Rattus norvegicus: one gene and its partner. The protein of the gene in region 2 purifies or fractionates together with the protein of the main gene of each other region. This does not show direct contact. Links are inferred from orthologs where the notes say so. Each region holds a gene or a part of one and is shown on either strand. Other genes may lie near its edges.

The links.
Region 1: the proteins of Arid1b (region 2) and Dpf2 purify together in Homo sapiens (affinity purification with mass spectrometry; 7 studies listed by BioGRID and IntAct, counting the BioPlex papers as one, with this or other methods). This does not show direct contact. The link is inferred for Rattus norvegicus from reciprocal best matches to the Homo sapiens genes ARID1B and DPF2.

What each region holds. Positions count from the first base shown.
Region 1 is NC_086019.1:212,618,155-212,621,969, forward strand, and holds part of Dpf2 (zinc finger protein ubi-d4), read right to left. Parts: intron 3,424-3,815; coding exon 3,260-3,423; intron 2,318-3,259; coding exon 2,225-2,317; intron 2,093-2,224; coding exon 2,014-2,092; intron 1,538-2,013; coding exon of another isoform or gene 1,496-1,537; intron 534-1,495; coding exon 396-533; intron 267-395; coding exon 138-266; intron 1-137. UniProt on the Homo sapiens protein: Plays an active role in transcriptional regulation by binding modified histones H3 and H4. Is a negative regulator of myeloid differentiation of hematopoietic progenitor cells. Might also have a role in the development and maturation of lymphoid cells.
Region 2 is NC_086019.1:48,319,835-48,323,649, reverse strand, and holds part of Arid1b (AT-rich interactive domain-containing protein 1B), read right to left. Parts: intron 2,922-3,815; coding exon 2,138-2,921; intron 227-2,137; coding exon 96-226; intron 1-95. UniProt on the Homo sapiens protein: Involved in transcriptional activation and repression of select genes by chromatin remodeling (alteration of DNA-nucleosome topology).

The DNA of each region.
Region 1 (3,815 bases), about 160 Mb from region 2:
GAAGGGAGTCAGACAGTGGGCTGGAGACCAGAGCGTGAGTGGGTAAGGGAGGCTGCCTGACTATAAAAGCACTCAAGGAAGCAGGCCAGGAGGGTTGTGGGTACCGAGTACACCCTGCTTTTTGAGGATGGAGGTACCTGAGCGGCCACAGTCAGAACAGGACACCAGCTCCTCAGGCTGCCCTGTCTTCTTGTTGATTTTTGAGTCTCCCAGGCAGAAGTCACAGTAGTTGTTAGGCAGGGCCAACCCATCAGGTCCTTTCTTGGCTACAGAAAAAGAAAAAGACTCTGATGATGGTCAAGGGAGCTCTGGGTTACCCTACATTCTCTAGACGGAGGATTTTTATAAACAAGCTGGTTCCTCTCCTGATTGCCTGCCCCGACAGCTCAGCTTACATTTCTGCTCCTCAGACCTCTGGGACACAGGAGTGGGTGGTTGGGAGTCTTCTTTGTCCTCTCCTTCCTCTTCAGCCAGGTGGGAATGGGCATAGTGGTAACTGAGGCCAGGTCGGTTCTTGTAACGTTTTCCACAAACTGGGTGGGAAAAAGATTGCAGAGAAATATTAGGACACAAAGGTGCTACTTTCCCACTGTGACAAGTTATGAAGCTCCAAATGAGGCCCAAGGGAAACCTCTGCCCCAGTGTCCCTACTCTGGCACAAGCTTTAGTGACAGTCCCTTCCCTTTAGCCAAGAGCATCAAGCCCTGGGCCTCTTTAATTTCTGGGACTCTCTTCCCTCTCTAAAACACAGACCCATAGCTACCAACATTTTTCCATGCTGGCTTCTAGAAGGACTTAGCCTCTGCTGCATCAACTTGCCCAAGAAATAGTAACGTCTGGGAGCTCCAGGTCGGGAATGTTCTACAGTGTAGCCTTATGGCAAAAAGGGGGATGTGATGAGGAGAGACCAGGCTCTTTTTCTGCTATGTAGATGTGTCAGGCTCATGCCACCCTGTGCATGCCAATCTCAGCTGAACAGACAAAGGGCTGAGGGTGGGTCTCCTGGTGAGCACCTACTAACTGCCAGCCAGGATAATTTCCCGCAAAGAAACTGAAATATATTCCCACACTAGTGCCCTGCCCAGCCCCTGCCAACCAACAAGGAAAGATTACATGGCATTTTATCTTGAGCAATGACACCAAGAGGAGCAAGGAGGCCAGCAGGAAGGAATGGGAGGATGGGAGGAGGTGGTGGTGTTGATGGTGGAAATGTGAGCTGACTGCCTGTTGTCTGGTTTGGGGAACATCGGATGAATCTATCCATAATGGGTTTCTGTTAACACTAGGCCAAGTGGCCATAGGAGGCAGTCTGTGATGCAATGGTAAAGACAGCTGCTAGGACTGAGAATGGAGCACAACCCGGGTACCACAGCACTACCCTCATACCGTTGCAGATTCCAAAGCTAGTATCACAGGAAATGAGAAAGGTAGGAGGAACAAGGGAAGAGGGGAAAGGGATAGGAAAACCACAAGTCTGAAAAGTTGAGAGAGCTACCTCTCTGGGGCGCTTTCGAGGTATGCTTTTGTTTGAAACTATCTGAAAGACAGAAAGAAAAGTCGTGAGAAGAAGGCCTTGATACATTTGAGACAGGGCAGCAGCAGCAGGAAAACAGAGCAAGTGAGAGAGAACCCCAGCAGTGGCACTTCAGGCTGGAGGCACGGAAGTAGGGTAAGCCAAAGCAAAGGGAGAGAGGACAGACACTAACCCTCAGGGCTGGCCGGCCCCTGAGCCCTGCCCTGATGGGTCAGCAGATCTAGATGCTGCCCACTATGAGGCCAACACTGCCTGCTTTGAGTTCCCTCATTCTCCCACCCCAGGACCCACAGAAATCTCTCCCCAGAGCATGCAGGTCCCACCCACTATGAAGCGAAGGCCAGGTTGGCAGGCAGGACAAGAACCCAGGCTTGTTTTACCACTCAGTGCAAGAACATGACCTCCCCCCCCCCCCCCCCATATCCAGAGCAGGAGCTGGGTCTGAGGCAAGAACTACCCACCCCTAAGGTGGCACTCACTGTCACAGGCATAGGGCTTATCCCGGTCCTCCAGGATGGAAGCGTCCAGCTTCTTCCGGGCACTGCTCACACCCTTACTCTGCCAAGAAAACCAAAAAGATGATGCCCTCACTAACACTAAGCGGTCTTGGCCAGAAGAGCAAGGCAGAAAGCAAGAAATGTCATAAGATTGGCCTCCACAGACCAGCCTACTTCATTATTCCCTCCTCACCTTGGATTTCCCCTTTCCCCGACGCTTTGGAGTATCTTCTTCATAGTCCTCGTCATCAAGGTCGTCTAGGAAGTCATCGGGTTCAAGGATCCGCTGAGTGGAGCAGGAGATTGGAATGAGCAGAAGTCAAGCACATCCCAAAGCACCCTCACAAGATAGAATTAGCCCCCTGGAACTACCCAGAAGCCTCTCTGAGGCTTAATCCACAATCATTCTTCACCCTGCAATCCCATCACTGCTTCCCCAAATGCTTTCTTTTCCCTGTGCCTCTTCAAGTTGCTCCCCTAGCCTAGAATGTCTGTCCTCCATCTCTCAGGAGCCAAACACTGTTTCCATAAAGCTCTCCTGGCACCCCAGGCAGCCTCGTCCTGTTCTGCCTGCTCTGCTTCCAAAATGCATGTCCTACTTTAAATAAGGTTTTCTGCTTACTTGACCTTGGGAAGTTTTAACCGCTTTGATTCTGCCTCCCTGTCAATGAAATGGGAACCACAGGACCTACCTCATGAGGCTGCACAAGAGGAAGCATATGGGGAATACTTAGCAGCGTACCTGGCTCATCTGTAGCTCTTCTCATCTTTAAGCTTAGCATTAACTTCCCAGTTGACAGGTGGGAACCAAGTGTGCTTCACCTATGTCACAGCAGGTATCTAAGTCTCTAATAGTCAGTCTTGCCTTGTGTGAGAGAGAATGAGTGTGTGAGCCTGTGCTGGGAAGGAGTGTGGAAGGCTAGATGGAGCCAGGCTGGGGCTGGCAGAGCCCAGGACTGCAGGGCAGCCTCCGCCTCCATTTCGGCTATTTTTGTTTTTTGTGTTAGGGCTTACACATCAACAGGCATGTATTCTACCATGATCTGCTTCAGTTCTACTAATTGGACCAAAAATTGGCTCAGAGGTTAAGAGCACGGATTGCTCTTCCAGAGGTCCTGAGTTCAATTCCCAGCAGCACTTGGTGGCACACGATTAGTGGTCCAATTAGTAGACCCAAAAGAGGCTGATCCTTATTAAAGTCCTTTAGCCATAGATAGGAACGACATACCTTCCGTGCTCGACTGTTGGTAACAGGAAACTCGCCCAGGCTGTCATCATCAACTCGGGGATCTGGGGCACCCCGTTTCTCCAGGGGATCAGTACGCAGCAGAGCCTCTAAACTGCTGCCATCCTGGGAGATAAGGCCCTCTTTCTTCAGAGTCTGGTCCGTGTCTGCAACAAGTCAAGATGAAGCTAACTCAGAAGGGCTGAAGCTGAATCTACACCACGAGGGGCCAAGTCAAACCCAGCCACTTCTGTTCTCCAGGAACCGAGATGTATCTGTTCAGCCGGCACTGGAATAAGCTGCATTACCTGTTTTCACTAACAGTGGGCTCCCTGAAGGACAGAAGCAAAGTATGTGCAAGCTCAACAGAGCCTGGGGAGAGCCGGCAATCAGCAAGCCTCCCCTCATACAGACCATGGCCTTCCTGAGAAGGGAGCCCCTTACTTGGTTTATTTACTCTGGATTATTTTAGTCATGACATATAAGACATAATCATATATGTCTATATGGCGCATGAACACATGTGGCTACACATGTTGGGAGGACACTGGGGGCTCTG
Region 2 (3,815 bases):
GCTGGCTGCACAGCACCTTAGGCACCAGCTTAGCATTATGCATACTCCATTTTAGAACACGCCAACTTGTTGCCAGCTGTGTGCAGCTGCCTCACCTGGGAAAGATTGAAGGTGGCGACAGTGCTGTCATCATAGAGGAGAATGTTGATGGTGTCCAAAGCCCACGTGCTCTCAGCCAACAGACCGGATTTAAGGGACATCATCACACGCCACGCCTCGGGAGTAACTAGAAAGGAGAAGAGGGTGTTGTAAGCACCAGCTCTGGAGGAGGAAGCGGAGCGCTGTGCAGCAGTCAGCTGTGTGTGATCATCTGACTTCAGCTGGGGACGGTAAGTAGACATGCTACTTTGCTCTTGTGTTCTGGTGGTGGGACAGGAGCCCCAAGTGCATGGCCAGCACACATGGTCCTGTCATCGTGAGCATTTCTTTTGCCACTTAGTAAGGGTAATGATCGAGTCAAGCTCAGCAGAGCTGGCTTGGGAGGAAAATGTAATCCTCAAACAGTGTAACATCAGAGAATGTCTGTGTTCTCCCACAGCTATACCCTGCTGTGGCTGAACAGGTACTCCAATGGTTGATTTTCAGGTGCGACCGTGCCCAGGAATGGGAGACTGAAAGTCTGCATTCTCTGTCACTCTTCCTACTCCTGCCCCTAGAAAAGTATGACTAAATGACAGCTGTCAGCTTTGCTGAGGATGGGGTATACTGGACTACAAGTCCTGAGTCTACACTGGGAGATTTTCAAAACTGCAGGGGCCTGTGATGTGACCTGAAAGAGAGAGGGGGACTGATCTACCCATCCTCCCAGCTCCTTACAGTGCAGTGTGAGGGGCAATTGTGCTATGATGTGTCTTATGATGCAGTGAGGGAGGGGCTGTGTCCAAGGGTGTCCTTCCTGGGATTTGGCTTTACAGGTGTTTTAAGAGGAAAACATGTCTTTTGTCATACAAGGGATCAGACTTTTGAAAATAAAATCTCCCTAGGTTGGAGGCAAGCACTGACAGAAACTGGACTAAGAGATTAAAAACAAAACAAGATTCAAAACCAGATATAGGGCTGGAGAGAAGGCTCAGGGGTTAAGCACACTGGTTCCTGGACAAGACCAGGGTTAGCGTTCCAGCACCCGCACAGTAGCTAACAGTCATCTGCAACCCAGTTCCTGAGGATTTAACTCCCTCTTCTGCTTCCTTGGGCACTGTCGGCACATGCAGATACAACATGCAGGCAAAATATCACATAAAGTAAATATGCTTTTAAAAAGTAGATTTATGACTATTTAAACACACAAACGTAGATAGCTATTTCATTTACATTTCTATAAAATAGGGCTCAGTATCTATGGTTCCATCATCTCTCTAAAGTTCCCATATACAAGATACCCTTCTTAATGTCTAACAACTAAAAACATCTTTAACATCGTTAATTAAATCTTTCATTTTCTAATCACTGCCAATGGCTTTAAGACAATTGATTCCAAAATCTTTGAAAAAATTTTCTTACACAACCAAGAGCTATTATTTCCTCTGTTGTGTGAAAAGAACTTCAAAATGCATGCAGAAGAAGCTGTTAACTAACGGACACCCCAGACCACTAATTAGTATGCCCATGGCCTTCGCAGAGGACAAGTAAGCAATACTAGCTCAGCTGAGTTAGCTCCTTGGACTGTGTCGGCCAGTGTGATGTGATTACATCAGTGCCGGAAATCACAGCGGAGGGCACTCACATACCATACCTACCTATCTGCGCAGCATGGCCAGGCCCTACTCCCTATGGAAACTCATCTTACATTGTCACTAGAGTGGCTGGCCTCCAGTGGATCTCTCGAGCATCCAGTGTAGAAATCAAGTGGCTTGGTTTTGTCTAAAGCTCAAGCCAGCACCCAGCCTGTGTGACTGAGGGGTTTGGCCCCTCCCTGGAGGGCTAGTCTCTTCTACAAGCAACCTTTGCACCTGAGTGTCATTAGATTCAGGCTTTTCTCTGGTCTGTTTCTTATTCAGACACGTGGCTTCTAACCAATGCTCCCATAGATAAGTAGCCTATAATTTGTACTGTTGAGATTCTCATCCAATTGAGACAGATGGGAATTGTGTCTGTATTAAAAGTTCTAGATTGCATTTTAATCCATTTTAATGCTTACCAATATCTTTTGAGGTAATCTTCCGCCTTTGTTTCAGGACTGGCTGCGATGCTTCTACTGAGCCAGGAGGAAAGGTAATCTCCCTTCTGATTGGCGGTGGCTGTGGGGGTGGTCCGGTGACCTGGGATGTGGGGACCGTGGGCATGACCTTCTGCATCTTCATGGCAGGCAGGAAGGGGGACTTGCTTGGAGACATGCGGCTCTCCAGGGAGCGCGGGAAGGAGGCAGGGCTGGGTGCCCTGGAGATGTGGTTTGGCAGTGACGGCGGCGTCTGGTAGGATGACTGAGGTGGGCGCGTGATGGGTTGCATGGAGGCCGATGATGACATATAAGGCTGGCGCTGGCTGACATGAGAAGGCCACTGGCTCTCGTGATTGATCCTCTGATCAGGTACCATCATATCATCTGTGCGGTTCATGCCTGGGTAAGGGGGTGCCTGTGCAGGGCCACCTGGGCCTTGCCTGTTCTGGTAGGGATAAGGCATATCATTGCGTGTAGCCCACATATTCTGCTGAGGCCCCTCATTGGAAGATGACTGCATGGGGCCACCCATCATCTGAGGTGGGATTCCATGTGGCTGCATCTGGCCTGGGCCCTGCATCCTTTCTCTATTGTAGGGGTAGGGATACTGTCCCTGGATGGGCCTTCTGTCCGGGCCAGAGTAGGAGCCTCCGTACTGGTTATACATCTCCTGCTGTTGGCTGCCATACTGCATGTTGTACATGTCTCCCTCGTGGCGCTTGGCTGGAGGCCCGTACATGCCATCCATATGGCGTTTGTAATTCTGAAATCCATATAAAGACAATTATACTGATGTTCTCTTAGAGGTATAGTCATACACACTCGAATTATGCAAAAGTTATTACTGGGTAGAATGTTCATTTCAAAACGGATACGGGACGCTCCTATGTACTGACAAACGCTAACAATTTAGGCTTGTTTTCAGTATTGCCACACACTCTTAGGAGGGGTGCCCAGGTTTGTTTTCAAGTGTAAAACATTTTCTATGACCCCTCTCCTTGAGCAACACAGGGACAGCACACCATGGCTGACCACCATGTCAGCACACGTGGATAGATGGAACCAACAGTACCCTAGGAGCCAGGGTGCTCTGACTCATGGGAGCAAACTGGATATTTCAGGGCCGTTCTGGGAGGTTCTGGGCTGAGGGGACCCTAGACCTCAGTAGATGGCAGAGCCTCTGCTGACGTAGCTCCTGGACCATGACACCTGCAGTCCACATCCCGGCCTGCGCTCAGATACACAGCTCGCCCAGGCTCAGTTCTCCACGGAACCCTTACTGGTCCCTCTACACAACTCCTTTGGCTCAGCTCCACCCTTGAAGACTCTCCTTGGTACCCACTGGGTGGGTGGGAGATATGTGGAGGGGTGCACTGTGCACTTCAAACTGTCTCTGGTAAGTTACTTCACCAACTGCAAAGTATGCTCCAAGTAAATGAATATTTCAAAATGACTTTGTGATTGAAAAATTCTAAAAAGAAAATGCCCTCCCCCCTTTTTGGTGAGCGATCGCAGACCAGAAAGATTGTTCAGAAACAGCTAAACCCTAAGGAGGAGCCCGACCCTTAGGGCCACTGTGACTTCTCCAAGGTTGGGTTATACAAGACTTGGCTGTGAAGTATGCCACAGGAACTAGCCTACTGCAGAACATGCCATT